Linked DNA regions of Struthio camelus. The protein of the gene in region 1 purifies or fractionates together with the protein of each later gene. This does not show direct contact. Links are inferred from orthologs where the notes say so. Each region holds a gene or a part of one and is shown on either strand. Other genes may lie near its edges.

Region 1 (7,181 bases):
AAGCCCTCCGCCTGGGCGCCGGCGCGGCCCAGCCCGGCTGCGCGGGGTGCGAACGCGCTCAGGCGGGGCCGGGCGGCGACGCCAGGCCGGCGCCCCTCCGCCCGCCCGTCCCGGGGCCGCCCAGGGCCGGAGCCGCGGCGGCGGCAGGAAAAGGAAGCGCTGACCGCAGCCTGGCACGGCCGGAGCGCCCGCCCGGCCGCGGCGCCCGGCCTCCCCCACCGCGCCCCAGGGTCCTGAGCCGAGGCGGCGGCGGCGAGGGGCGCCGGCAGGGAGGGCCGCGCGCCGGGACCCCCCGCGCCGCCCCGGCGAGGCCGGCGGCCCGCGGCCCCCACCCGGCCCCCGGAGCGGCCGCCCGGCCCGGCGGCGTGCGGAGGCCGCCCGGCGCGAGGCGGCGGCGCGGGGCCGCCCGGCCGCCCGCACTTACCCCACAGCAGCAGCAGCAGGAGCCGGCGGCGGAGCCGGCCGGAGCCCGTCGGCGCGCGCGGTGCCATCCTGCAAAAGGCTGCCGGCTAACGACCGGGACAAGTATTTCAATGGAAATAACAGGAAGCAACTCCTTTCCTCTGACAGGGGCAGTTTGACTACAGGAGACGTGTGAAAAATGAGATTGCTCAGCGCTGCTTTAAAGCAGATCTCCCGGCGGGACCCCGTCGGCGTGGCCGCGCGCGGCCCCGCCGCCGCCCCGGGCCCCCGGCGGGCATCGCTGCCGCCCCACCGGCCGGGGCGCGCGGCCGGCGCCCGGGGCGGGAGAGGCTCCCGCTTCGCCGGGCCGCTGTTTGTTTACTTGTGTATTTCTCCGTAATCCCGTCTGGGCTGGGTTGTGAAATCCCTCGTCTCCCGCGCGGAGGGCAGGCAGCCCGGCGGCCGGGCGGGGGGAGCGGACCGGGGGAGCGTCATGTCCCCGGCCGGGCCCGGCCGCGGGTCGCGCGGGGGCGGACGGAGGCCCCGGGCGCGCGGCCCCGCCGGGCACCTGCCCCGCGGCCGGGCCGGGCCGGCGGCAGGTGGGGAGGGAGCGGAGCCACCGCGGCCGCGTGTCCCCGGCCCGCCGCCCCCCGCGCGCCGCCGCCGCCAGGCGCTCGCCCCAGGAGCCCGCTGAGACCCGGCGCGCTCACGGCGCTCCCGGGCCGGGCCGGCGCTTGCAGCCCCACGTTTCCCCTCTGAAAGCCGGCCGGCGGGACTCACGGAGCGCAAACCGCGGGGCCGCGGCTGGCGGCTGGCGGGGACCCTCCCTGCGCGGCGCTCCCGCCGCCCGCCGCCCGGCCGGGGCGGCCCAGCGGCTGCGGGACCCGGCGGCACCTCCGGCCGGAGCGCGGCCGCATCTGGCGCGCACCACGGGCCGGGGCCCCCGGATCCCGCTCCCCGTGGCCGCAGCGGCTGCAGCCGGCCTCCGGCCCGCCGGCGGGAGCCCTTGCCAGGGAGACACCCAGTGATGTCAGCCCGGCCCCGGGGCCCCGGCGGCCGGCCGGTCGCGCCCTCCGCCGGGGCCGGGGCTGGGGCCGGGGCTGGGGCACGGCCCGACCCCGCCAGCCCCACCTCACCCGCTGCCCCCTCCGTCCCCCTCCAGGCCCTTCCCGGAGCCGGCCCGGAGGAGGCTCGTGTTCTGCTCGGCGCGGGGAGGCGCCGGGCCGCTGCCCGGCCGGTTCTGCACCGCTTTGCCGGCTCCGCTGAGCGTGAGGGCCACCGCCAGCGGGACCAGGCAGCCGAGCCCGGCGGCCAGCGCCGCGGCCAGCCCCGGGGGCAGCCCGCCCGGCCCCGGGCGCCCGGCCCCGGCGCAGCCGCTGAAATACTCGGCGTGGATCTGCAGGAAGAAGGCCTCCAGCGTGGGGCTGGGCCAGGGGCAGGCCAGCACCTCCGCCAGCAGCTCCGTGCAGTTGGAGAGCTCGCTGTAGATGCTGCGGGGAGAGGGGAGAAGACGCTGGCGAGCCGGGCGGCCTCGGGGCTCCACCGCGGTCCGGCCTCAAGCACGCGCTCACCACGGCGAGCGCCCAGCCCTTCTCCGCGTGCCGCGCCGGCGAGCCAGGCGTGCAGCCGCTGCCATGCGCCGGCAGCGTGCAACCCAGCACCACGTGCACGCTCTGGCTGGAGAGCTGAGCGCCGTGCATGCTCCGGCCAGAGAGCCCAGCGCCGTGCACGCTCTGGCTGGAGAGCTGAGCACCGTGCACGCTCCGGCCAGAGAGCCCAGCGCCGTGCACGCTCCAGCCGGAGAGCCCAGCGCCGTGCACGCTCCGGCCGGAGAGCCCAGCACCGTGCACGCTCCAGCCGGAGAGCCCAGCGCCGTGCACACTCCAGCCGGAGAGCCCAGCGCCGTGCACACTCCAGCCGGAGAGCCCAGCGCCGTGCACGCTCCGGCCGGAGAGCCCAGGGCTGCACACATTCTGGCCAGAGAGCTCAGCGCCGCGCTCGCTGTGCCGGCAGTGGGGTCGGACCGACCTGCCGATGTGCTCCCAGCGGCAGCGGCTGCCCTCGGGGGTGGCCGTGAGGGCGGCGTGGAAGGGGGCCCAGCAGTACAGGGAGATCCAGTCCCGGTAGGTGTCCTGGCAGCGGGCTGGCCCGTCCAGCACCTCCAGCGGTCCTGCGGGGAGGCGGCGCGTGAGCCCCCGGCCGCGCTGCACCGCGCTGCGCCGCGCCAGGCTCGGGCACCTCCACTCACCGTCCTCGTCCAGATAGAGGTAGTGACCTGGGAGGAGAGACGGCGCCGTCCCGTCAGCGCCGCGGGACCCCGCGCCGGGCAGGGCCGCGTCTCCTGCCGGGGCAGACGGGCTGGTCCCGCCGAGGGGGCCGCGACGCTGCCGGGGCCCGGCGCCATCCCCGCACGGCGCTGCCGCGGCCTCACCTTCGTCCGGCAGGTCCGCGTCCGCCGGCTGCCCGCGCCCTGCGGGAGGGAGAGGCGGGCGCGAGGGCTGCAGAGCGGCCGGGGGGCTCGGGGAGGCGGCGGCGCGGCTGCCCCTACCCCGCCGGAGCAGGGGGAGCAGGAGGCAGCAGAGGAGCTGCGCCCGCGCCCCGAGGCGCATCCTCCCGCCGCCGGGGCCGCCGCGGGCGGTCGGGCCGGGCCGGGCCGGCAGCGGCCCCTCGGGATATATCCGCGTGCCCAGGGCCGGTGCCAGCCCTTTCCAGGCGCTCCGGAGCCAATGGCTGGGAAGGTCGGGGAGGGAGCAGCCGGTTTGGCCTGACTCAGCAGGCGACGCCGGCAAAGGCATCAGATAAGGGGTCGAGCGAGACGCGGGGGCTGCGGGTGGCGTGGGAGCGAGCTGCGCTGCCGGGACCGGCCTCGGCCCGGCCCCGGGGCCTCCGGCACGGCGCTGCCGCCGCGGCCCGCCGCGCTCCCGGCTCGGGGCCGCCCGCAGCCGCTTCCTGCCCGGCGCCGCGGCAGGGCCGCAGGAAGCCCAGGGCCGCCCACGCCGCCTCTCCGGGCCGAGATCCCGCTCCTGCCCTGGTGGGTGGGGAGCCCCACGCGGGTCCCGCACCCCGGTGGGGTTCCAGGGCCCACGGGCCCACAGGCGCCCGCGTCCCCCGGGATCCCCTCCGCCGGCAGGCGATGGTCCCGCCCGGCTGAGAGCCACCGGCCGCCGCGGCCGCGGGGCCCATGGGCCCTGGGTCCCCACTGGGGTGCGTGACCCGCGTGGGCTCCCCACCCACCAGGTAGACTCGTGTCCAGGCCCCCACCCGCCTGGGGCAGCTGACCACATGGGAAGACCCGTGTCCGGGCCTCCACCCAGCTGGGGCACCCCAGCCAATGGGGGGACCCATGTCCAGACCTCCCACTGTGTGGGGCACCCCACCCACCGCAGAGACCCATGTCCAGGCCCCCACCCGCCCGTGGCACCCCACCCAACGGGGGGTCCCCTCCCACGTGGGACCCGCCTGACCGCAACCCCGGCTGCGGCCCAGCCCCGCGCGGGACCCGCTCCGCCCCCCGCCCGCCCCAGTGGTACAGCCCGCCCTCCCCACGCGCGGGACCCCCTCCGCCCCCCGCCCGCCCCAGTGGTACAGCCCGCCCTCCCCACGCGAGGGACCCCCTCCGCCCCCCGCCCGCCCCAGTGGTACAGCCCGCCCCGCGGCACAGGCTCCGCCCCCCGCCCCGCTCGGCCCCCGCTCGGCCCGGCGCGGGGGCGTGGCCAGGCTCGGGGGCGTGGCCAGGCGCGGCGCGGGGGCGTGGCCGGGCTCGGGCCCGGGGTGGCGGCGCAGGCGCAGGCGCGGCGGCGCCCCCTCCCCCTCCCCCCCGCCCGGCGCGATGGCTGAGGAGTGAGTGCGGGGCGGGGGCGGGGCCTGGGGGGCCCGGGCGGCGCGGGGGGCCCGGGCCCAGGGCGCGCGGCGGGGCCGGGCCGGGGGCGGCGGGAGCCCCCGCGGGGCCCGGGGCCCGGAGGGGCCCCAGACAGGGTGGCCCGGGGGGCGGGGGCGGCTCCTCCCCCACCCCCACCGGGGGGTGGCGACCCTCCGTATCGCGGGTCCCTGCCCTGGCGACAGCCCCACGCGGGGGCCTCGGGGGCGCCCGTGGGGCGGATGGGGCCTCCCGTGGGGCAGATATGGCTTCGGTGATGCGGATGAGGCCTCCTGTGGGGCGGTTAGGGCCTCCCGTGGGGCAGATTTGGGCCCCCGTGAGGTGGATGGGGGCCCCATGGGGCAGATGTGACACCCGTGGGGCAGATGTGGCGCCCATGGGGCGGATGGGGCCTCCCGTGGGGCAGATAGGGCACCCGTGGGGTGGTTGGGGCCTCCCGTGGGGCAGATTTGGGCTCCCCTGGGGCAGATATGGTGCCTGTGGGGTGGATGGGGCCTCCCGTGGGGCAGATTTGGGTCCCCGTGAGGTGGATGTGGCGCCCGTGGGGTGGTTGAGGCCTCCCGTGGGGCAGATTTGGGCCCCCGAGGGGCAGATGTGGCACCCGTGGGGCAGATATGGTGCCTGTGGGGTGGATGGGGCCTCCTGTGGGGCAGATTTGGGCCCCCGTGGGGCGGTTGGGGCCCACGGGTAATTTGGGCCCCCATGGGGCAGACGGGCCCCCCGAGGGGCAGCGTGCGGCTCCTGGCTGCGCTGCCCGGCGTGTGTCAGCAGCCCCTTCCCGGCGCCTCGAGCCCCCCGCAGCAGGAGCAGGATTCTGCTCCCTGCGTACTTCCCGACTGGGAATACTCCCCGGCGCCGCTAAGCCTTCGCATTAAACCACCCCTTGACGATCTTCTTGCGTGGCCTGGCTCGCTCCGTAGGTGGTTTTTAACACCATCACCCCCAGGAGATGTGTGCTGGCATGAAGATTGCTGTATCGATTTTTTTTTATTATTATTTTAACATTTGAATGGCAGAAAGTCTTGTAAAAACATTTGAATGCTGTGGAAATGCAGCTTTGAGAACAGTCCGTAGGAAATCAGGGAGTTAATTTTTAGGGATGAATCATTGCAAAAGCAGAGGTTGGAGAAATCTACTCGAGTGTCTCCGAGTCTGAGCCGTCCGGTGGCTGTGTGGCTGCGTCAGGATGGAGTCTGCTCGACCTGCTTGGGAATCGGCCGTTCAGACAGAGCTATACGGATCTGCATGAATGATTACTGTGTGTGCGAAAGGCTGAAGCAATGAAACGCGTAGGAGTGTAACACGTTTCAGAGGCTAATATGACTCTTGGGGAAAATCGTGTTTCTCTGCAGAGTTCTATTGTACAGTACATTTCTGAGAAGAAGGACTAGAAAATAGAAACAAAAAACCTTCCTGGCTTCCTGTCACTGTGAGAAAGTGCTAGCTTGCTGTAGCCAGACTAGTGATGTCGTTATTTGTTTTGTTGGTGCCCTGGGCAAATGGAAAAAGGGGAACACCCAGAACGCTTTGTCCGTAGGGGATTCATAGGGATTCAGACTGGACATAAGCAGCTGAATCCCTGTAAGCATGCTTAGTTCAGTGCATCTTCTTATGTCCAAAGCTCTCCAGGCTTTTCAGTGCAATTTATTGTAATTATTCCTTAAATAGGACTAGTGCAGATTTATATAGTTATTTTTTCCTGGGTATAGTCTATGATGCATTTAAAATGCACATGGATTTCTTTTAATAGCCCTCGTTTATAAGTTTAAGATCTCCTTTATTTGATATTTATCCTTTTTGTATTTTTTTGTAGAAAAATGGAAATCGCCACTCCTCCAACATCAAAGTGTATTATATACTGGAAAAGAAAAGTCAAGTCTGAATATATGCGTCTTCGACAACTCAAGAGGTTTCAGGCAAATATGGGAGCTAAGGTAAAGACATTATGAGGATGGTTCTAGCTGAAAGGATATCTCCTAAATATTTCACATTAGTTTATAGTCCTAGAGCAGTTATCAGATGAGTGATTCATCCTGCTAATTGCAAAGTTATATTAGTTGTAAATTTGAAGAGATATTACTTTTCCTCATGCTCCATTAGTAGAGCAGTGTGGTCAGTGTCCAATATATAGGTACAACAGTTTACCAGCCAAGTACTTGCACAACTGCAGTAAGAAGACTAATTTCAACTTGTTTTTAGAAATATCCCTTTGCTCTAAACCTTTCAGTGCAAAGGGACTGGTAGGTTTCAGGTGGCTTCTTTGCCTTTCTTGTTGGCAGGTAGGTTTTTAGAAAAGGTCAGCTGTGGCCAGGAGTTATCAAAAGACTGTTGACTGTTCAGTAGATTTACAGTGATGTTTTATACCACTGCTGAATTCAATTAGAATTCCTTCTAATAGGTACCATCAATTGAAATGCTGTGCTGAGCGCGTAGTTTGATATTTGAAACAAAATCTCAGGAAGAATTTTAGTATTTTAAACCTTAACAAGATTTTTAAAAATTTGAGTGCATCTTTCTCCCATTTTAGGCTCTGTTTGTGGCCAATTTTGCGAAGGTTCATGAAAAAACTCAAATTCTGAATGAAGACTGGAAGAAGCTTCGAGTTCAACCGGTGCAGTTAATGAAGCCGGTCAGTGGACACCCTTTCCTAAAGCAGGTACGGAGAAGAGAGCAAAAGTGGCACAGCAGCAACAAATGCTGGTTAGAATCACGGCTTTGCAGGGGACTGTGAAGATACTTAATCTTTTTGTTTTGTCCTGCCATATGTCAGTATCAGAGCATGCCTAGTATTCTTCCATGATGCAAAAACAGGCAAAAACAAAAAGGGTTTTCATGTCAAGGAATCAGCATGAGTGAACGCAGGGCTTAGCTGTATTTGTCCTGTAGTGTGATTTCCTCCTAG
Region 2 (7,374 bases), on another chromosome or scaffold:
GTGGCTGGCAGCCGCGTAGACATCCCGGATGATGGGGTTCAGCTTGCTGCTCTCCATGAGCCTCGGCAGCCCTGGGAGGGGAGCACGCGCTCGTCACCCGCCGCCACCGCCGCTGCCCTGCGTCCCGCGGGGTTCGGCCGGGGTGTAACGAGCCCGTTGTTCGCCCGAGCTGCCCACCGGGCGCCGCGCAGGCTGCGTGCTTGGGGGTCCAGAGCTTTAAATCTGATGTTAAATTTCATGCATAATTTCCATGCAATTTCCCCGAAGGGCACGAGAGCCCCGTCGGGGCAGGGAAGCGGGAGCGCTCCAAACAGCGCGTGAAACGGAGCAGCCGAGTTTCGCTGCCGCAAAGGCTTGAAGCGCGAGAGGCAAACAAACCGCCCTCCCTCGACAGCGCCCCGGCCGCAGCTCGCCTCGGGACCGCCGGCAAACGCGACAGAACAACCCAAAAGTTACTTTCCCCCCCGCCGAGGAGCGTCCCTCTGATGGCGACACGCACGACTTCATGCCACGCATCGCAACACGGGACCGCACGGCGTCTCGAGCAGGACGAGCTGCCTGCGGCCGGAGCGCGCGATTAACAACCTTCACCTTCCCCGGGGATGACCTGGCCGCTTTTAAGAAGCCCACCCGTTAAACGGACCGCGCACCAGGCCGGCAGGCAAAACAAAAAAAGGGGGAAAAAAGAAAGAAGGGGGGGGGAAGGGGGGGATGCTCAGCGGAGCTGGCGGGAGCGGCTCGGCCAGCCGCGCCTCGGCCAACGCTTCTCCCGGCGCCGGCAGAGCCTGCGGCCGCCCAGGCGGGCTCGGCGCACGCCGCGGGCGCCTCCGGCGGGGCAGGCGGCGGCGGCGCGCAGGGCGCCGCGGGGCATCGCCGCCGGCCCGGTTCGGCTCGGCTCGGCTCGGTTCGGCCCGGCCCGGTTCGGCTCGGCTCAGCCCGGCCCGGTTCGGCTCGGTTCGGCTCAGCCCGGCCCGGTTCGGTTCGGCTCAGCCTGGCCCGGCCCGGTTCGGTTCGGCCCGGCGCACACGGCACCGCGCTCCGGTGCTTTCGGGCAGTGCCCGGCGCCGGCGGCACCTGCCGGGCGGCCGCCCCGGGGCAGCGCCGCCGCCGCCGCCGCCATTGGCTCATTCAAAGGCGCCGCCGCGGCGCCGTCCCGGGAACCGCGCGCCGCCCCGCGCCGCCCCGGCGGGCTGCGGCTCCGCGGGAAGCGCGGGCAGCGGCCGCCCCCGCCCCGCCGCCGCCGCCGCCGCCGCCGCCGCCCCTTACCGCCCGCCGCCGCCGCGCTCTCCCCGCGCCGCCGCCGCCGCCGCCGCCGCCGCCGCGCCGGGCCGGGTCAGGGCCCGCCCGCCCGGGGGCCGCCGGGGCCGCGGCGCGGCGGGGGCAGGGCGCGGGGCGCCATCTTCCCGCGCTTCCCGGGCCGCCCCCGTCCCGCTCGGGCAGCGAGCGCCGCCGCCGCCCCCGGCCGCCCCGCGCCGCCCCCGGCCGCCGCCGCCCCGCGCCGCTCGGTGTGCTGCACCCGGCTCGGCCCGGCCCGCGCGCGCTCACACACACACTCGCGCTCGCACGCATGGTAGCTGGGGGCGGGCGGGATCTGCGGCTGCCCCGCGTGGGGCCCCGGCAGCTGCCTCCCCCCCCCCAGCCCGCGCGTGGGGTGTCTGCAAACTGCCCCATGCACGGTATCTGCAAACCGCCCCGCGTGGGGCACCTGCAAACTGCCCTCGTGGGGTGTCTGCAACTGCCCCCCCTGGGGGTCGTCCCCAAAACTGCCCCGCGTGGGGTGTCTGCAACCGCCTCCCCTGCGGGTTGTCCCCAAGACTGCCCCGCGTGGGGTGTCTGCAACCGCCTCCCCTGGGGGTTGTCCCCAAGACTGCCCCGCGTGGGGTGTCTGCAACCGCCTCCCCTGGGGGTTGTCCCCAAGACTGCCCCGCGTGGGGTGTCTGCAATGGGCCCCCCGGGCGTCATCCCAAAGACTGCCCCGCGTGGGGTATTTGCAACCATCCCCCCTGCGGGTCACCCCACCAGCTGCCCCGCGCAGGGTGTCTGCAACCGTCCCCCGTGGGGTACCCACAGCTGCCCCCCGGGGTACGCTCCGCTCCGGGGCACCTGCGAGGGCCCCGCACCCCCCGCGGCTGGCAGGGCCCTGGCATGCGGCACCCCGGCTCCCGCGCGGGCAGCAAGTGGCGTCGCTGGGGGCTCCCGGGGCCGGGGCGACCCGCTGTGCCGCGCCGTGCCGTGCTGCACCGTGCTGCACTGCGCCGTGCCGTGCCGAGCCGTGCCGAGCCGTGCCATGCCGAGCCGTGCTGCACCGCACCGTGCCGTGCTGTGCCATGCTGAGCCGTGCTGCACCGCGCCATGCCATGCCGTGCTGCACCGTGCTGTGCTACACCGTGCTGCACCGCGCCATGCCATGCCGTGCTGCACCGTGCTGTGCTACACCGTGCTGCACCGCGCCATGCCATGCCGTGCTGCACCGCGCTGTGCTGTGCTACACCGTGCTGCACCGCGCCATGCCGTGCCGTGCTGAGCCGTGCTGCACCGCGCCATGCTGAGCCGTGCTGCACCGTGCCATGCTGCGCCGTGCCGTGCTGTGCCATGCCGGGCTGTGCTGCACCGCGCCGTGCCATGCCGTGCCATGCCAAGCCGTGCTGCACCACGCCATGCCGTGCTGCACCGTGCCGTGCTGCACCGCGCCGTGCCGTGCTGCACTGTGCCATGCCGTGCTGTGCCATGCCGAGCTGTGCTGCACCGCACCGAGCCGTGTTGCACCGTGCCGTGCCGTGCCATGCCGAGCCGTGCTGCACTGCGCCGAGCCGTGCTGCACCGTGCCGAGCCGTGCTGCACCAGGCCGTGCCGCGCCATGCCAGGCCGAGCCGTGCTGCACCGCGCCGTGCCGTGCCGCGCCGTGCCAGGCCGAGCCATGCTGCGCCGCGCGCGGGAACAACCTGTGCTCCTCGGCATTCCTAGAAACGGGGGGATTTTTCTCTGAATCTCAACAGAGAGAATCAATCACTGCAAAAATGCTCTGCTCAGTGCCAAGGAGAAGTCTGAAGGATTTGCTATTTGTTCGAAAGCGCTGCCAAAACAGAAATGTTTGCAGGCCTGCTCAGCCGGCGGGCCGGCTGACTGCCGGTGGCGGGCCGGCGCCGGGCGCGCTCGCGGTCTGTCGGCGCTTTATCGGCTGTGGTCGATGAGCCCGGCGGCAGGACCGTGCCGCCTCGGCCCCCGGACCGGCTGCTCCCTAGCTCACCTGTGAAAGAGCGGGCGCTGCCAGCGAGCGTTAAAAATGAATGGCGCAGGGGTAAAAATGCCTTTTACATGTTTCTGTATGATTCTGCCGTCTCCGAATCCCTTTGTGTCACCGCAGCGGCCCCGCAGGCTGCGGCTCTCCCCGGCAGCCGCCCCCGGGGCCGGCGGCGGCGCTGCGCGCGGCTCCCTGCAGCCTTTTGCACGTTACGGATCGTTTCGGACACGCTAACAACTACTTTCCAAAAGTAAAACAGCAAAGCTACGCTGTCTCAAAACTAAATATCCTGCCAGCAGCATCGCAGGCCACAAAATATCCTGGCAGAGAGCGGTATCGAAGAAGGGGGCGAGACGAAGCGCAAGGCTCTCAGCGGTCAATCACACGTGAAAGGCAGCGGGTGTGAAAGCTCCCGGCTCCGAGATGCGGCGCGTGAGCAGGGCGCGCGGACGCCGCCACGCACCACCTGAAACCCGGCGTCCCGTTTTGCAAGCCGTGGGCAGCTGCCGCGCTCCTGCCCTGCTGAGGGCCCGGGGACGCCGTCAGCAAGCCGTCCGTCCGCTGCCCTGGCAGCCTGGCGAGCAGGCGCGGAGTGACCGAGGGCGCTCGGCTTGCCGAAACGCTGATCGTTTCCCGCCGCTCGCCCGAGCGCGAGGAACAGGGCTTCCCGGAGCCGGGGGCACGAAGGCTGTTTTTCTCCCTTGCTTCTCGTTTCTCTCTGTGTATGAAGCTAAAGCCCCCAGGCTGTGCTGTGCCGTGCTGTGCCCTGCCGTGCCGTGCTGTGCCATGCTGTGCTGTGCCCTGCCGTGCCGTGCTGTGCCATGCCGTGCTGTGCTGTGCCATGCTGTGCCGTGCCGTGCTGTGCCGTGCTGTGCCATGACCTGCCGTGCCGTGCTGTGCCGTGCTGTGCCGTGCTGTGCTGTGCCATGCTGTGCCGTGCCGTGCCGTGCTGTGCCGTGCTGTGCCATGCTGTGCCATGCCCTGCTGTGCTGTGCCCTGCCGTGCTGTGCTGTGCCATGCTGTGCCGTGCTGTGCCGTGCTGTGCCCTGCCGTGCTGTGCCATGACCTGCCGTGCCATGCTGTGCTGTGCCCTGCCATGTCATGCTGTGCCGTGCTGTGCCATGCTGTGCTGTGCCATGCTGTGCCATGCTGTGCCGTGCTGTGCCGTGCTGTGCTGTGCCATGCTGTGCCGTGCTGTGCCATGACCTGCCGTGCCATGCTGTGCTGTGCCCTGCCATGCCATGCTGTGCCGTGCTGTGCCGTGCTGTGCCATGCTGTGCTGTGCCATGCTGTGCCGTGCTGTGCCGTGCTGTGCCGTGCTGTGCTGTGCCATGACCTGCCGTGCCATGCTGTGCCGTGCTGTGCCATGCCCTGCTGTGCTGTGCCCTGCCGTGCCATGCTGTGTCATGCCGTGCCGTGCTGTGCCATGACCTGCCGTGCCATGCTGTGCCGTGCCGTGCCGTGCTGTGCCGAGCTGTGCCCTGCCGTGCTGTGCCATGACCTGCCGTGCCATGCTGTGCTGTGCCCTGCCATGCCATGCTGTGCCGTGCTGTGCCGTGCTGTGCCGTTCCATGCCGTGCTGTTCCCTGCCATGCCATGCTGTTTCCTGCTGTGCCGTGCCCTGCCGTGCCGTGCCGTGGCGTGCCCTGCCGTGCTATTCCGTGCTGTTCCCTGCCCTGCTGTGCTGTGCCCTGCCATGCCATGCCGTGCTGTGCTGTGCTGTTCCCTGCCATGCCCTGCTGTGCCGTGCCATGCCGTGCCGTGCTGTGCTGTGCTGTGCTGTGCCATGCCGTACAATGCTATGCTGTGCCATGCCCTGCCGCATTATGTATGCCGTGCCATGCTGTGCTGTGCCCTGCCGTGCCATGCTGTTCTGTGCTGTTATGTATGCTGTGCCATACTGTGCTGTGCCGTGCCCTGCCGTGCCGTGTTGTGTGCTGTGCCGTGCCGTGCCATGCCGTGCCGTGCTGTGCCGTGCCGTGCTGTGTGTATTGTGCCATGCTGTGCTGGGCCCAGCCATGCCCTGCCGTGTTACGTGTGCCGTGCTGTGCCGTGCCGTGCCGTGCCGTGCCGTGCCGTGCTGTGCGTGCCGTGCCATGCCGTGTGTGCTGTGCTGTGCCGTGCTGGACCCAGCCATGCCCTGCCGTGTTACGTGTGTCGTGCCGTGCCAGCCGCACCCAGGGGCCGCATCCTGCTGCCCGCCTGCCGGGAGCGGGCGCCCGAGCAGGCCCACCCCGAGAGCACGCAGCGCCGGGGCAGGCGCGCCGGGCGCAGGTCGCGGGCAGAGGTTTGCCCGGCGGGCTGGGGGGTGCAGAACGCCGCTCATTCCCTCGGCATGAAACACTCGTCCTCCGGGTTCACGGGGAACCTGACGCATCTTCAAAACACTCAAACGGCCAAAATTTGCGGTGAGTCATGATATGTGAGTCACAGCAGGACTAAAATAACTCTTGCACCATCGTTCGCCTGGTGGACAGAGACGGCCGCTGGCTCTGCGGCGTTTCCCTGCGCTAGTCCGGACCAAAAGCAACTTACTCATGGCTCCCGCGCTCGCTCGGCGCTGCGGCGCCGGGTCCGGCTCGGGCCGGCGGGGACGCCCCAGGCCGCGCGCGCCCGGGGCTCTGGGGCGCCTTCGGCCTCCCCAGCTAGAAGGAGCCCTGGGCGGCCCCGGCGCCCTCCGGAGCTGCAGGAGATGCTGCCCGGCTCCAGGCGCTGCGAGGGCTGAGCCGGCGCCGGCCCCGCTGCCCCGGCAGCCCCACGGCGGTGGCTCCCGTGCAGCGGTGGCTCCGGCGCAGCGGTGGCTCTGGCACAGCAGTGGCTCCGGTGCAGTAGTGGCTCCGGCGCAGCGGTGGCTCCGGTGCAGCGGTGGCTCCGGTGCAGTGGTGGCTCTGGCGCAGCAGTGGCTCTGGTGTGGCGGTGGCTCCCGTGCAGCGGTGGCTCCGGCGCAGCGGTGGCTCCGGCATGGCGGTGGCTCTGGTGCAGCAGTGGCTCTGGCACGGTGGTGGCTCCGGTGCAGCGGTGGCTCCCGTGCAGCGGTGGCTCCGATGCAGCAGTGGCTCCCGTGCAGCGGTGGCTCCCGTGCAGCGGTGGCTCCGGCGCGGCGGTGGCTCCCGTGCAGCGATGGCTCTGGCACGGTGGTGGCTCCGGCGCGGCAGTGGCTCTGGCACAGTGGTGGCTCCGGTGCAGCGGTGGCTCCGGCGTGGCGGTGGCTCCCGTGCAGCGGTGGCTCTGGCACAGCGGTGGCTCCGGCGCGGCGGTGGCTCTGGCACGGTGGTGGCTCCCGTGCAGCGGTGGCTCTGGCGCGGCGGTGGCTCCCGTGCAGCGGTGGCTCCGGCGGGCTGCGCCGATGGCCAGCCCGCGGCTCGGCTCACTCCCGCACCTTGCAGAGCGGCTCGCTACCGCCGTTTCCACCATAGTTTTTCCTCTGCTGAACAAGGGTTTAGAAGCCTCATGCCTTCTCTGGGTTTTTTCAGCCGGGTTAAGCTGATTCAGGAAAAGCTGGATGATCTTTCCCCACTGACCTTTCCATGGTTATTTATTTAGACCGTCCCAGCTACATAAGCGCCGTTATTCTCTGCTCACCTAGCCATTAACCGTGGAGCAAACAGCCCCGGTTTAGCGCTCTAGGACTCTCCTCGACGTTTCTGCACCGTTCGATTTGGCCCCGAGGAAGCAAAATTCATTGCAGATGTTACTTTCCGCAGCAGAAGTCGCTCGCTGGATTAGTCAAACCTTGCTGTCGCTGCGATTTCAGCGCGGCGGGCGGCGAGGGGGCTCCGGCGGCGGCGGCGGCGGCGGCGTGGCACCGCCGCGGGCCGGGGCAGCGCTCCGAGCACGGCCATGCCCCCGAGGGCGCCCCGGAGCGGAGGTATGGTTGCGGTCACAGCTGGGGTAGTTAAATCCGACGCTCATCTGCTTTATGCCAGCTGTGCCTTTAAAAGGAAGAGCGTTCAGGCATTGGATTTCATGTCTTTTTGCTGTTTGTTTAATATGAATTTAATCCACATCCATTTCTTTTTCAACCTAACTTTCTTTGCGTGCTTCTGTGCAATTGCGTAAGACATGAAGAGCTTGTAAGCGGTCCCGCAGCTGTGCAAGGTTTGTATTAATGTGGCCGTTACATAATTTTGACA
Region 3 (7,914 bases), on another chromosome or scaffold:
TCGGCAAGGCCAAACCTATCCAAGCATTTAGTTTTCTGTCCTTTGGACCTCGCTCACTGTCTTTCGGTACAAAAAGAGCGTCAGTATAACCAAGATACATGCCAGAAAATTGCTTTCCTGCCCCTTAATTTTCTTCGTTGACATACTTCTCACAACAAAAGCCCTTCCCCCTCTTTATGAAGCAAATGCAAAGATGTTGTTAAATACAACATAGAAACACTGCACCTCAAACTCTTATTATTTCAGTCGCAGACTCTCTCAGTCTCTTTAAAGTTTTCTTACACTGTATACTGTGAACTGACAGATTGCTTCTTATTCAACCATTTCCAGGAAACAGAGAGATTTCAGCCATGGAGGGGTATGAACTGTAAATTAGGAATAATTAAGGCCTTATATTAGAATTATGTAAGCATTTAAAAGCTTGTAAGTGTTTTGAATTGTGAACCTGCAGATATCTGTAGATATTTACATATCAAAGACCACTTAGTAATAAAGAATCTCAGCTAAATTTTTACAGGTAATTTCAGAAAGGTTATATGTCTGGAATAAAATTCTAGAGTGAATCAGGTATTAGGGAAGCTTTAAGCTTCAGCTTCTTTTAAGCATTTTTTCAAGCATCTTAAGTATATAAAGTGCTTTTACTAGAAAAAAAAATGTTTCTCTGTGAAGACCAATGGCAATGTGGTCAGCATCCAGTAGCACTAATGTATTTTCTTCTGTAATGTTGATATACAAGAATGCAAAATCTTACCTATCTAGAAAAATATTTTAAGATATCTATTTTGTTCTGTTTTCACAAATATTTTTATATCCTTAGGATAGAGCGAGAATAATTACTGCAATTTTATGATAACAATTGTTATCTGGTTATAAGGCAATTAATACTAATTTCTTCATATCTTATAACAGCACTCACCTATTTTTTATATTTTGAAATTGAAGATCCTTTTCTGAGTCCTAGAATAATAAATACAGCATAAGTGCACTGTCTCACTAATTATTATGTTTACGTAAAAGTAGATGTACCATATTCAACTTGATTGAACATAGGAAGATCTCAGGTGAGCTTCCTTGCTGTTCCCATGCTCAAACAATACTGAGAAAGTGGCCTGGGATCTAATTTTCCCTCCTTACTGAATTGTGGTCATGACAACCATCTGTACAAGGATAAGCTTTACAGTATTGTCTTGTTCGAGGTTATCATTTTGACGTTACATTGGGTGATACAATAAGGCAATGGAAAATAATACTCTACAGCAGTTGGTGCTCTCATCTACATACACTGTTGACTTAAGTGTATGGGTTTTCTGTTTTGATTTGCTTACTTTTATTATTTGTTTATAGAATTCTTGCTAAGAAAGTGTATAAACATAACACCTGCTTTAAAACGATATACTAACATTTGAGAGAAGGGCTGTTGGCTAAGGGACATGCCACTATTTCTGAGTCTGTATTTAAACATTATTTAAATTTATCCAGCTTTACTGGTTACAGAAAATTTACATTTTGAACATGAAATTTAAATTGTCTCTCTTGTGCCAGCAAGGCAAGATACAATTTCAAAAAGTAAAGACTTTGCTATTATTCATCTTTGTGGCAAAAATGTACCAAACAATATGTGGACAAAAATAAACACTAAGGGAGAGACGTGTCAGGTCAGTATTCTTTAACCCCCTTTGAAAACAGAGCTATTTGTGAAAGGAGGTGGAAGAAAGCTGAACGTATTTATTATTATGCAGAACCTTATAATCAAAGTCTTTTTTTTTTCCTGGAACTCCTACACAAGAGAGCTCTTACCGACATTTGAGGAGAAGTAATTTAATTTGGCCTTGGCCATGCTGTGACAAAAAGTATATATGTAATACGTCTGGAATTGAAAACACAATAGCAGAGAGTGCTTAAACTGTATGTGCAAATACTTTCAAGGCATTATCAAAAGGCAAAAAAGAAAACAAAACAGGAAAGTCCATTCTAAAGTCATCATATATAGTCTTATTGGATCTTAACAGAAGAAATAACTAGTTGCTTTACTACTAGTGCTGAGCAGAAAGCAGACGAAGATTCTAGTTTGCTCAAAATCAGGTTAATGATACATGTCTCTCGATAATTGGAATTGTATAGAGTGTCTAAAGTAGGCTGACTTTTACTTTTGCTGTTCCTTCTTTGCCCCACATATGCCAGTGATAATCAGGATCCTTTCTGCTGCAACTATAGGTTTCAGCATTTGCTGATTTAAGCATTTCAATTTGAAAACCATTTATAAAAGAATCATTTGCACATTTGCAATAAGATTCCCAACCCTGTAATTACCTCATCAGGTTGGGCAAAAGAACTATAAAAGTGACTGTTCCAGTGCATATTTACTCTCCAAGAGTAGAAGTAGCTGAATTTAGTCATCTATGTTTAGGTATTTCTCAAACATTTGATTTACTTGGTCTAGTAAACGCATCAGGTGAATAAGACTTGCATGGTGATGGCTCTAGAAAGGAGCTTCCTGTAGGATGGTGATTCAGTGACCTGCTAAACTGTGTAAAAACTAGTTACTAAATTACTGTGATGGAAGAGGGGGTGTCTGTGTGAGGTGCATAGGTTGGAATTTTTCCAGCTATCAGTAAGAGCCGACCTTAAAAGGAAAGAGAGGTTAACATGGCTTTATTTAGGATTTGGCTGGGAGCCCATACTGTGCTTCACAGAAATTCTGAGAGAAAAATATTATATGGAATCAAATTTGTGGGGATAATATTGATATGGTCTGTTGTTTATAGTAATAAAGCTAATAGTAACAAGCTTTGGGAGCAAAGTTCTGGACTAACTAGTTCAATCCCCCTAATAGAAAACTAATCAGTGTATCAAACTTTAATCATCCTTATTTACTGTGGGGATTCTTAGTTTCTTTTAGCGCTGCCCTCAGATAAAGGTAATGCTATTCCAGCAGCAACTCCTAGCTCTGTGACAAGTGGTGTTTTATGTTTAGGGTGTGGCCATGCAGCTCTGTGCCTTTATGCTAGTTATGAAAACGGTTTCAGGGAACAATATTCCAAGGAAAAGGAGGGTAGAGCTACATGTGTCTTTCTGATCAAGGAGGTTTTTTATTTTTTTTTAAGGGGGTGCTGGTGGCGAGCTAAACAATTTACACCGGGAGATCGCACTCTGAGAAGTTCTGATTTAAGCAATTTCAAAAAGACAGCAGAAACAGGTTGGTAAGACCCTCCAAGGGGGACTGTAAAAAAGTAAGTTGTGAGGGAGCCAATTATTGATGTTTAGTCATGTTCATCCTATGGCTGATAAAAAAAAATCTTACTTTTTAACTGGTTTAACACTGGTTCTCACCTACTATTATCAGTATAACTAAAAGTTAAATACTTGCACGTGTGTTTTTCTCAGCTTGAGTAAGTGCAACTTTTTTTCTCACGCCGGTGACCCCTTGCCTTTAGTACTAGTGGTACCTAACTGCTGCTAGCAGTATCTCAAAATACGTGAAGAGCAGGCCATGGCAATTGTGCTGTGCAAGCCTGTTCTTCACAGATCTAGAGGCCATCATGATCATGGGCCGAGCAGTGGCTAGTTAGTACATCCAAAGGGAATTTTAGGGAATTATTCCCTAAAACCTGTATTTTAAACAATTGCCATCATGAAGAGATTCAGGTTTTACTGTTTTACTTTGACACCCCTCAGAGTCGGCCAGATTAAGGTGTAAAAATGACAGCTCTTTCAGACTCATCTGCTTTAAACATCACTCTCTTTGGTCCTCTTTTGGGTGACAAGCTGCCTCCACGTCCTGCTGTCCTCAGGACCATGCGCACCCAGGGATTACCCTCCTGGGGACCACTGACCCAGGGAGGCTGGCAAGCTACTGTACTGCACCCCTGGAGACGTCAGGGGGCCAAAGGGAGTCAGAGAGGGTCTGCAAACAGATCCAGTGTCGTTTCCAATGGCTGATCTTTCTGTGGAAGCTCAGCCAACACGTTAAGGCAGAGTGAACAGGCCAGACTGCCCGTGCGAGATCCCATCTAGTAAATACTTGCATTTCCACTACTGCTTAGAGGTCTGAACTGTGCCAAGGAACTGCCCCTATGGGACTGGGGCAAACTTTCTATTGTGTGTCACTGTACAACTGCTGCATTTAATCAGAGCTGCTGCTGAGGCTGCGCTAAGCCTAAGGAACTCTTCATAAAAACAAGCTGCTGGTGATGATGAAAACTGAAAAGCCTATTCCAGTTCGCTAACACAGCTGCTGCTAGAAAGAGAAACTAAACTTTAGCTCAGCTCCTAAAATGGCAGTTATCTCGAAGACTGCGACTGCAGAGGAGCTTCTCCTTCAGACTGTCTACCCTCACGCCCTTGGTGTGAGCAGGCCCCCCCCCCGAGCAGCCCCTGCTACCTGGGCCGGGGAGGACACCGCGGGCGCCTGGCTGCCCTCTGGGGCGCGACGCCGGCTGCCCCGGCCGGCCAGGGCCCTTCCCGCCCTCCCTGGATCATTCTAGACGCGCGGGCCGACCCCGCCGCGGCGGGGCGCCGAGGGGACGGGCCGGCTCCCGCCTCACGGCCCGCAGCCCAGGTGGGCGGCGGGGGCAGGTAGAGCGGTGCGGGCGGGCAGGCAGGCTGCGCGGGTCCCCGCGGGACTGCGCCGCGCCGCGCCGCCGGCACCTCGCCGCCTCGCCACAGGTGCGACGAGGGAACAATAGGCGGAGGCTGGCGGGGCGGCGCGCACCCCTCTGCGCTGCCGTAACGAGTCCCGGCCGCGGGCAGGGATATTCCCCCCCCTTTAGCGAGCACGCCTAAAGTAGTCCCTCTTTGTTCACCAGCGGGCAAGGTTCGGCTTCACCTGTGTCCTTCCGCCGCAGCGCGGCTGCCGCCCCGCCCCCTGGCCGGGGAGCTGCCTGTCGGCGCAGGCGGGGCCCGGCCGGGGCGGGGCCGCGGCTCTTTGTGCTCCCACAATGCACCAGCTTCTCCTCCGCGGGAAACAAAAATGGCGAGGGGCTGCGGTGGAGCCGGGCTGTCTGTGAAGCGGGTCTGACCCCTCCCCCGCCGCCGTCCCCTCGCCTCGCCGCGGGGTCCGTGCTCGGGGGGGTCCCGCTGCGCACCGAGGGCCCGGCCGCGCCGGGGCGCCGGGGGGAGGGCTCCTGAGCTGGCTGATTTCCCTGTATGAGGCGGTTGGCACCACCGGAGAGACCGAATGAGGTGGGGTGCGGGGGGCGGGCGGGCCCCGCGGCGGGGGGGAGGGCGTGGGGGGCGGCGTCGCCGGGCCCCGCGCGGGGCGGGGGAGGTGCGGGGCAGGGGGGCGCCCCTCAGCTGCGGCCCCCCGGGCCGCATCCTGCCGCCGGCACGGGGGTCGGGCCGCCGGCGGGGAGGGGTGCGAGGGGCCCCGCTCCTGCGCGGGGGCCCCGGAGGCCGGGGCGGGGGGAGAGGGGGCGGGAGCTGCCTCTGCGGCGGCCGGTGGCAGGCGAGCGAGGGGCCGGTGGTGCTCCTCCGTGACCAAAACAAAGGGAGCGAAGGCAGGAGACCTTGTAACGGGGGCCTCGGGGGTGTTGCAGCCGGGCGGTTGCCGCTGGGTTTACCCCAGCTGGGTTTTTTGTGTGTCTTGCTTAAGGACTTTGGCCGAATGGGCTGCATTTGCTCAAGTGTAAAAGAGCAACACAAAAGAGGTGGTGGTGGCTGCTGGTAACTTTGCTTTTTCTTCTGTGATGCCTCTTCTTTTAGTCTCTGTCAAACTAGCGCGATTCAAATGTGCTGAAAACTTGCGGTTTTAGTCTACCGAAATGTGGGAACTGTTGCTGGCTGAAAGGATGTGCAACAACATATTTTCTTATCTGTGATGCTTGAATTTTGTGGAAAAACTGGGTTGGTACTTTTGTTAGTGGGAACAATATGCTACTGTGTGAGACAGTCTGGACACTGATATCGAGTGTTGGAATATTAGGGATTGTCATCCACCTCAGAAGCATTTGGGTGCTATTAAAAGGAAAGGGCCTGCCAGGAATGCAGTGTAACCTTATGCTTATTTCTTGAATTTCTGATGGTTTGGCTCTGTTCAGGACATTAGGTAATACATAGTAATGGATAATAGCATGATCTTCTTCTGACCTACGGTGTAGGTCATTCATACCTTATACCGAAACTGTCAAGCACAGAATAATGAAAAAATGGCTTCACTGATTTTTGTGGTTTATAGTCAGGTTGGTAAAAAGCTAATAAGCTGATGTTTGTCCCTCCTTGGAGAGCTCAAATTGCAGTTAATTGGAAAGCCTTTGAGGCTGAGAGGAGAATAGGTGTTGTAATATTAGAATACAGGTTAATATGTTTAATTTTTTTCACTTTCAGTGAAAAGAGACTAAGGGGGCACAAAGACTAAGAATATGAAAGAAGGGACGTAATAAAGTAGTGAAAGAGTTAGAAGGATCTTTGTGGGGAGCCACAAGCTAGTGAGATGTGCATCTAAACTTAGAGAGTAAAATGTAGTAATGCTTTCCACAGTTATCTTTATCTGGGAAAATAGTTATGTGACTTCTCAACAAGTTCTTATCTCTGCTCGGTGAAGAATGCTGAATTTGATGTCAGTTGTCTGAAAAGTTGGCTTAATATGTTTGTTTACCAATTGCTTAGATATATAACTTAAAAACAGTTGAAGGTTGCACTCCCAGTCAATATCAAGACTAGCCTCAGATACAGTTACGTTTGTTCTTCCATGCATTAGGAGATCAGGCAGAGTGTATGAGAACAGCTGTAACAAATAAGTTGCAGTGCATTTGCTAGGAATGGGCTGGTAAAGGGTGGCCTTCCATATAACCTGGAGATAGATGAGGATGAAGCTAGTACTAGAAGCATCATAAATTGCTGTAAAGTGTGTTTTATACTTCTAATGTTAGTTGTGGAAGAGAAAGTTTGGAGGGGAAAAACATCTGTAAGTGAAAGCCAGTATAAATCTTTCTCTTCTCTTAGTTTGTGAGTTGACAGCACTTTTTGCATGACTGACCTCTGAGCTTGCTGCAGAGTTGGTTTCACCTTCTTTACAGGCCTTCCTTGCAGGAAATGGAGGGGAAGTGTGTCTTTGAGTAAAACAAACCAGGAGAAGAATGGTAAAACGATGGGTATTGCTGATGGGTCCCTGGGCAGGGTGATACTTGTCGCTGAAAGTACTGAAACTAGTTGAATTAACTTGTTGAAGGATCCCGATTTCAATCTGACAGGCTTTTCCTAGAAGATGGGAACTCTGTTAAGCAGGGAAATTGAAAAGCTTGACTTTCCCTTTCTTTAAGAGAAGGGGAATTCATGATGACAGCATTCCTGATGAACCTGGACACACTTCATTCACTAAATATTTCAGAGGACAATAACACTTCATCCTTTTAAAAAATAAATCAATTTCTATGTATTTCTTTCACTGGAGCGTTTGTAAAGGTCGCTGTTCCTGTAGAATGGCCTTAAAGGAGGAAATATGTCCTCATGGTTTTTGACTGCTTGTGGAATTTTTCCCCTTCTCTCCTCTCTCCCCAGTGCAAGTCAGAATGTGCTCTGTGATCTCATTTACTGCTTGGACGCACGCTCATACTGTACTCTTTTAGGTATGTTGCTGGGCACGCTGTATTTGGATACTGTGGAAACCAGAAAGTCAATAGCTGGGTTAAAGGAGATGCTAAGTATACGTTTAAGGAAAGATCTGATTAAAAGCGAGGTGTGTTGCATCGGCATACCATACCCTTAGTCTCTCCTTGATACTACCTACTTCCTCTTCTTTGTGTATAAACACATGATCAATCCCAAGTCATTCTACAAATGGCTATTACAATAAAGTACTACCTTGCCCTATTTCCCTACATGCTACAATACATAGGGTAATACATTGTTATGTAATTATTTGTTAAAGACTGTTTTAATTCTATTTGATGTGCAAAAGAAAAAAAAAAAAACACTTTT
Region 4 (7,528 bases), on another chromosome or scaffold:
ATCTCAAGTAGCATTACCACAAAAACTTGATGTTGAATGAGGCTGAACAGAGACCATTTTCCCCAGCTTAACTTATAGAATAAGACTAGAGAGGAAGAAAAAGAATAGTAAAATAACTAGTAATGAGCATGGAAAAGTGAGGGGAAAACTAAGAAAATATGAAATAACTTGCTTTCTTTTTTTTTCATTTAGTGTTTTAAATGTCATTTGTGTCCCATTTCTAGGGTGAGTGAGCACAGTGTTCTCTCTTATACGTGTTTTAAGGCAGGAAGGACGGTCTTGTGTTTGAAGCAGAAGACTAGGAGTCAGGCAACTGAGGTTCCCCTGGGGACTCTTGGATCTCTTGCTCTCCTGCACAGCAGCCCTTCAACAGCCTTACACAAAAGTTTTTGCGTCCACAGAGCGGAGGTAATACCTTACAGAACTGATATGAACACTAGCTGCATTTGGAATACACGGTAAAGTCTCTGAAGTGTTACATAAGCGTAGATGTTAATATAGACGTACATCGCCTGGTACAGGCTGAGCTGTATGGAAAGCACAAGCAGCCACTGACTTCAGTAAAAGTCTTCCTGATACATCACCAGGGGAAAATCAATTATTCTCCCTCCTCCCTAACCCTAAAACAGATGCGACTCCCCCCTTCCAGAATTGTTGCCTTTACTTTGAAGGTCCGAGTTTCATTTTGCAGCCGGTTCCCTGCTTTCTTTACCGGGAAAGTCGCGTACTTGAATTTTACAGGTTTTTGCTTTAAAACTGCATTTCCAAGTCACATTACCATCCATCCACTTTTAACACCGAAGTCAGCTGGGTGCCCGACAGGACATAAAACACCCCCGTCAGCACCAGGGCTCCCGCAGACGAGAGCAGCCTGCGGCGATCAGCCCAGCCTGCACAGCAAGCTGCGCACGGGCAGCGGGTGCCGGCCAGCCACCCCGCAGGAGCCGCGGGACGCCGCAGCCGCCACCGCAGGCTCCTCTCCGCAGCCGCACCAGGCAATTCAAACCTCGCAGCGAGGCCGCTCCCGGCCCGGCCCTACCGCTGCAGCCGAGCAGCCCGGGCCCCTCCGAGCAAGGCGGGCAGCCGCGGGGCTGCGAGGCGCCGCGCAGGGCCGACGAGTGACCTCAGGACACCTCCGAGGCACACCGAGCAAATCTCACGCCAGCCGGGGCAGCCTGTCCTGAGCTGACACCGCCCGCCACGCCGAGCAGCCGGCTCCTAAGACCCGTCACCGGCGGGCCTCGTCGTCTGCGGCCGCGATTCAGATAAATTAAGTTTCGTGCTGCACCTCCCTAACCTAACCCAGACGCATTAATCCTCGCACTCTCCCAACAGTCCCCCACGGCGCCTGCCTGCCTCCTTCCCCCCCCACACCCCCCATTCCCTTTCTGCAAATCCCCAATAAACTTCCCTCTCTCCTCCTCCTCCTCGGCCGCCCCCTCCCCCGGGAGGCGGGTGGGGCCCGCCTCGCCGCCACCTCCGCCGCCGCCCAACCGCCCCTCGCGCGCCCCCTCCCTCCGTCCCCCCCCCGCCGCCTCCACCACCGCGCGGCGCGGGGGGGGTGAGGAGGGGCAGGCCAACGGGAGGAAGGCGGGGGGGGGAGAAGGAGGAGAAGGGAAGGACGAGCGTCGCGAAGGGGGTTCCGCGCGGAGCAGCCAATGGGCGGCGGGCAAGGGGGGGCGCCGCGCGCGGCACGCCGGGAGGTGTAGTTCCCCGCCGTCGCCATTTTGTGGCGAGGGAACTACAACTTTCCCGCGAGCAAGGACAATTCTCGGGCCCTGCGCGGAGCCCCGCCGGCGAGGCCAGGTGCTGCCAGCGCGGCGGGCCCCGGTGCATGCCAGAGCAGGGGGACGTGAGGCGGGGCAGGGCAGGGCAGGGCAGGGCCGGGGCGGAAGGAGAGACCTTGGCAGACAGGAGGAGTGAGGCTGCTGCGGGGCGGGGAGGGGAGGGGGGCAGGGCAGGGCGGCCGAGCGTGCTGTGCGTTGAGGGACCGTCGCCAAATTCCCCGCTCGGGCTGTGCTGCAGGGGGGCAGCGGCGACCTTGGCCGCCGAGTGGCCGCACTTAAAAACCTTAAAAAAAAAAAAAAAGAAAGAAAAAAGAAGACGAGGGGGGAAGAAGGAAAAAAGAAAGGAAAAAAAAAAAAAAGGAAGGCGTGTGACGCTTAACCTGCATGAAGTGTAAGCGAGGCCTGTTGCATGCGTTGAATGCAGCGAGGCCGGGTGTTGCGGCTGCTGTCCCGGTTGGGAGTTAAGGCCAAGCCCTATCTGGGGTGTGTGTATGTATGTGTGTGTGTGTGTGTGTGTATATATATATGTATATACATACACACACACACACGGGCGCGCGCGCACACACACATACACACACACACATACATATATATTAAAAAAAAATCAGGTCCATTTAAAGTTGCTGCCGGAGAGCTGTTCTCATTGGTTAGGGGGAGCTGGAGGAGCAGAGACACACACAGTGCGTGCAGCCCTCGCTGCTGCTGCTGGGGCTGCTGCTGTTGCTGCTGCTGCTGCTGCTGGGGCTGCTGCTGCTGCTGCTGCTGCGAGTTGTCTCTGCTGCTTTCCCTGCTGCAGCAGCACAAACGTGACTTCCAACATTTTTATTTATCTTCTCCTTTCAACCCCGTTCCTTTTCCAAGATGTAACTACAGCTCTGACACTAAGGACCTGCAGATCGCTTAGGTGGCTTGAGCAAGAGAAAAGGGGATATCAAGGGCGTCGTTTTTTGTGTTTAGGGGGAAATTTTCCATTACAATGTTTCACTAAAGTGATTTTTTTTTTTGCTTCCTTCGCATTCGTCTCTTCTTCTTCTTCTTTTTTTTTTTTCATCCCCCATATCTCGGATTTATTGCTAGGAGAATCACATTGTGAGGAAAGAAAGTCGGATTACAAGATACCACTACAAACAACCCCCTCCCCCCAGGATTTTTCGGTATTTTTTTTTTAAATTGTCGCGGCTTTAATTCATGAAGCAATTGTCCCCTTTTGCAATCAGAATTTGGATACCAGAATGAGCAAAGAAAGACCCAAGAGGAATATAATTCAAAAGAAATACGTAAGTGGTCATAACATATATCATTTGACTCCCAGTTTTAGGAAATGGCAGTGAATGTCAAGTTTATAGCTAATCCTGCAGCTCTAAGGCTTTTAAAACAAATGTAATGCTGAATTTTATTTTTCTGTGGTGTGGTGGGGGAGTTTCATAGGCCCCTTTTAATGGGAAAACCTTCTATGCAGTTTGGTTATAAAACCAGATTTGTGTAGCGATACCTCCAGTGAATAAATGTATTGACCTCAAATGACACAATCATAATCTAGTTTTAGATGAAAGGCAGGGAGCTCGGGGGGCTGCTGTGATAATGTAACGAAACTGCATTTTCAAGCGGTTTTATTAATATTGCGCTTTGCATGCAAAAGAACATATTTGACGATATGCGTGTGTATATATTCCTGCCTGGTGAAGCCACTGTGGTTGTTGAAAGCCCTTTAAGTTGAAATCGAGTGTCTGGTTATGGCGAGCTTGTTTCTTGCACTACCACATCAAATCTAATGTATGTGATCGTTTGCTTATCTGGCTCGCAATAGAAAGCAAACCAGTTGGGGATCGTGTTGCAGGGAATGCGTTTGTTGGGATTGCCTTTAATAATGGGAAAATGGCTCGGTGTAGTTTAAAAATTCATTATGATGGCTTGAAAATTTGGGAGAATACAGTGCAGCCCGGGCTGTATTTCTGTCTCTCTTTATTCAACCGCTTAACCAATCCCTCGTAATTGTCTAATCCTTTAAACATATAAATGTGCATGGATAGTTGGATTTTTGTTCGTGCTCCAGTTACGTTTTGATTGGCATAGGGGAGTTTTTCTTTACGTTTGGAAAAACTGAGGGGATTAGCCAAATATGCAGTAGAGCGAATAATGATTTTTATCTGCATGTTTAAAAAATTCTTCATTTTGTGGAGAGAAAAAAAAGGAGTTGCTTTAGGGTGTGTGTGATGCGACACTTAAAAAGTTGTAGTTTATATGGTACGTATCATTTGTGCTATTTTTTTCTGCGGGGGGGGGGGATATGTGTGTTTCTTTGAAGGGAGGGTGACCTTCGGGACACTTTACCTTGTTATTATATAGATTTCATAAAAACTGCAGTTGACTTCAGATGACTGTTTCTATCGATTTTCGACCCATTAAAATGTAATTTAGAGGGACGTGAGATTAAACAATAATTAAAAACTTCAGCCTATTCTCCGCCGAATTTTCGAATTAAAATATATCCGCATTGCAGAGGAATTGGGAGTCTGAAGCTGACTAGTTTAAAGTATTGCATCCAAACAGGAACATTGTGTAGAAAGTCTAGCGAAACATGTAAGACGTCCACGTTTCCCAGGCAGTGAAACAAAGCAGAATGGGGGGGGGGGAGGGAGGAAGGAGGAAATTGTGATGTTAATAATTAAAAGGAACAGGGTGGGGGTAAACACCCCCAAACCTGTTATTTCTAAAACCTTTCGCAGGTTTGTGGGAGCGAACAATGCAGCGTTACTCTGGCTACACTCATAGCGCTGGGCAGAGAATTAGTAAAACTACTGTCAGCCCCTCAAGCCCCACGGGGGAGGTATGAGGTACACATGTGAGCATGCTAGGGGAGACAATGTATCTTGTGTTACAAGTTTTAACTTGGCGGCGGCAAATCGCTTTTTTCCCTTTTTTTTTTTTTGCGCCTCTTTTTCCTTTTTTTTTTTCTCTTTTTCCCTTCCTCCTCCTCCTCTCTTTTTGGAAGGGGGAAAGAGAGCGAGCGCGGGGAGGGGAAGGCGGGGGGAGAGTGCGGGGGCGAGCGGGCTGCCGTGCGCCTCGGCGGGGGCGCGGGGGGCGGCGCGCGGCGGGGCGCGCTGGCGGCGGCGGCGGCGGCGGCAGCAACAGGTTACGCGGGATGTCAGCGCGAGCCGCGGGCTCCCGGCCACGCCGCCCGGCCGGGGCCAGGTTCGCCTCGCTCCCGTGACGTCACAAAGGGAAGGGCCTGCGCGCCGTGGAATCTTCGTCGCCTCGGCGCTCCGGGGCCCCCCCCCCTCTTCCTCCTCCTCCTCCTCCTCCTCCTCCTCCTCCTCTCCCGCCCCCGGCGTGACGTCAGAGCCGAGGCGGGCCGCGGCGGTTGGGGCGGGGGGAGGCCCCGGGGCGGCGGGGGCCGAGGCCGGCCTGGCCCCGCACCAGGTGAGCAGGTGCCGGGCTCCGCTGCCCTGCCCCGGCCCAACCCGGCCCGGCTCGGCCGAGGGGCGCCCTGGTGACCGTGGGCCGCCCGGTTTGGGGGCGCCCTCCCTGCGGCGAAGGTCTCTGAGGTCCTTGGGCCCCGCTTCCCCCCCCCACCCCCCGCCGCCTCCTCCCCCCCCCCCCCCCGGTGGCGGTGCGCGGCTTGGCAGCGCCGTGGGGCGCTGCGGGGCGAGCGGCGCCCCCGCGGGTGGCGGCAGCCCCCGGGATGCTGGCGGGGTAATGACATGGCATGACACCTTTCTTTTTCCTGTGACCTTTTGAGCGGTGCAGCATCATAGCAGAGCATGCTGGGCAACGGCTTCCTCCTAGCAAATGCCAGGCAGGTCTTTTGTCTGCCTGCTCGGGCTGCAGGTGCGAGCGAGCGCGTGCGCACCCACAACTTTGGGCAGCTGTCACCTGGCCCCAGCCTTCGCAAAGGTGACTTGCGCCGGTGGCTGCACGCGTAACCCGCCCTCCCCAGTTAGTCTTTCCTCTTTTTGCCTCTTCACCAGTAATGTCCTTCGGCTTCGCGTTGAGGCGCAGTTGTTGATCACACACAAAAGTGCGTCCTGGGTCTTTGGGTGACTCACAAGTTGGGAGTCCGCGCTCAACGCTTCAGTAGATCTGGAGATGTTGTCGTTTTAGGTGACCTGGAAAATTTGCCACTTGAAGTTCACAGTCGCTGAGGAAAGGCAGTCCCTCTGTATTTTACTGTCATGAGTAATCTTATGATCTCTTTGTATGGAAGAGCTGGCTGCTAGGAATTCCTGTGGAGCTGCTGTACGGGAGCAGAACAATGGTCCACCTAGTGTCATATACTGCCTGTGTGGCTGGCTGAATGTGATGCTTTATGGTAAACAAAGGTCTGAAGTAAGAAGGTATGACAGTCGTGCTAGTGAGTAATACCTTGTCATAAGTAGCAAGACGATGAGCAAACCCACTCAACTAAACAAAAACAAAGTACAGGCTTGGTGGTGTGCCACAGAGCTGAGATCCTCACATCACTGCCGACTGTCATATTGCAACTGGCGTCTGTTTAGACCATTACTTTTCATTTACAAAATGAATTCTGAAAACAAAAAGGCAGTGAGAACAATGGAGTAAAACCTACGTGTTGTAAGCTGCTTGCTGCTTCCGTACAGCTTGACTTGCTGCTTTGTAAATAATGGTAATTAAAAGTTCCTTTAAACTTTGAATGTATTATCTTTGCAACTGTTAACCCAGGAATGAGGAAATCCGTGTATATATGTCTTTTTTTTCCCTGCTCTTTAAAAATGATATCACTTAATTTTTAAAAGAACTATGGCTGACTCATACAAATCTTTCTTCTCACTTTACCCTCCTCCTTCTCAAACATCTTTACATATCAAATATTGCCTTTTGGCTCAAGCCTCAGAAAACTGACAGCTTTGTAAAGCATCAGCCGAGAAGCCAGACTGCATTCGGTATGCGCTTGGAATTAATAGTTCTTAAATAAAAACCTTTGAAGTCTTAAGCATAATTTCACAGGTGCATTTTTCTGCCCGTTTTTGTGATGTCAAATAGCAAATCTTCTGTTCTTTCTGGTTTAGGTCTTGAAGTAACAGACCTGGATTACTGTCTTAAAATACTTGCATAGTTCTGCCACGGTAGCAGATGGCAAAATATAATTAAGTAATAATGTCACTACTGTCTCCTTGTGTGATTTGTTTCGTTGTCCTTGCAGAGGTAAAAGTGCTGTAGTCTGCCATAAGGTGACACGCTTCACCTAAAGACAGCCGCGTAAGCCCCTCAAACAGGGTCAACGGGGCCTGTAGAGAATTAGTGTATTGCAGACATCTGAGGAGAGCTCCTCTCAGTGCTGCCGGTTTTTTAAACAACACTTTGTGCTTGGGGGCGTATTTATAGCACGATCTGAAAGAGCGCTACATATGTTTAAGTAATACGTGTATAAATTGTGTTACAGCAAAATCCTCAATATCTCTGTGAGAGGAGCAGGCACGAAATTGCCTCGCTTATCAGATCGGGTTCTTGAAACCCGGCTGCTGCGGGATGCCGCCAGGCTGCAGGTGGGTAGGTGGGTGATGGTGGCCTGTGGGGCTCCCGGCGCCTTCCCCAGCGCTGTGGGGTGGGGGGCTGCCCGGGGCAGGGGGCAGGTGGTGGTTTAGGGCTGGCGCGGTGGTAGGGCAGCGCCACCTCCTGAGGGACGGACGTTTTGTGTGCAGGGGCACAGCAGACTCGGGGTGGGTGCCTCCGTCCCCCCAGGGCTTCAGCCCCTCCATGTGGGGTTTCCTCTTTTCCCA

The links.
Region 2: the proteins of EZH1 (region 1) and PHF19 purify together in Homo sapiens (affinity purification with mass spectrometry; 4 studies listed by BioGRID and IntAct, counting the BioPlex papers as one, with this or other methods). This does not show direct contact. The link is inferred for Struthio camelus from reciprocal best matches to the Homo sapiens genes EZH1 and PHF19.
Region 3: the proteins of EZH1 (region 1) and MTF2 purify together in Homo sapiens (affinity purification with mass spectrometry; 3 studies listed by BioGRID and IntAct, with this or other methods). This does not show direct contact. The link is inferred for Struthio camelus from reciprocal best matches to the Homo sapiens genes EZH1 and MTF2.
Region 4: the proteins of EZH1 (region 1) and JARID2 purify together in Homo sapiens (affinity purification with mass spectrometry; 4 studies listed by BioGRID and IntAct, with this or other methods). This does not show direct contact. The link is inferred for Struthio camelus from reciprocal best matches to the Homo sapiens genes EZH1 and JARID2.

The regions. Positions count from the first base shown.
Region 1 is NC_090966.1:7,813,006-7,820,186, reverse strand, and holds the start of EZH1 (histone-lysine N-methyltransferase EZH1), read left to right. Parts: upstream 1-4,165; 5' UTR 4,166-4,231; coding exon 4,232-4,242; intron 4,243-5,176; exon of another isoform or gene 5,177-5,195; intron 5,196-5,433; exon of another isoform or gene 5,434-5,568; intron 5,569-6,092; coding exon 6,093-6,213; intron 6,214-6,806; coding exon 6,807-6,935; intron 6,936-7,181. Other genes in the region: RAMP2 (receptor activity-modifying protein 2), read right to left, coding at 1-37, 425-581, 785-897.
Region 2 is NC_090961.1:3,054,816-3,062,189, reverse strand, and holds the start of PHF19 (PHD finger protein 19), read right to left. Parts: upstream 3,003-7,374; 5' UTR 2,959-3,002; coding exon 2,943-2,958; intron 1,318-2,942; exon of another isoform or gene 1,267-1,317; intron 72-1,266; coding exon 1-71.
Region 3 is NC_090949.1:18,605,099-18,613,012, reverse strand, and holds the start of MTF2 (metal-response element-binding transcription factor 2), read left to right. Parts: upstream 1-4,907; 5' UTR 4,908-5,176; coding exon 5,177-5,181; intron 5,182-7,914. UniProt on the Homo sapiens protein: Polycomb group (PcG) protein that specifically binds histone H3 trimethylated at 'Lys-36' (H3K36me3) and recruits the PRC2 complex, thus enhancing PRC2 H3K27me3 methylation activity.
Region 4 is NC_090943.1:98,478,878-98,486,405, forward strand, and holds the start of JARID2 (protein Jumonji), read left to right. Parts: upstream 1-4,518; 5' UTR 4,519-4,533; coding exon 4,534-4,617; intron 4,618-7,528.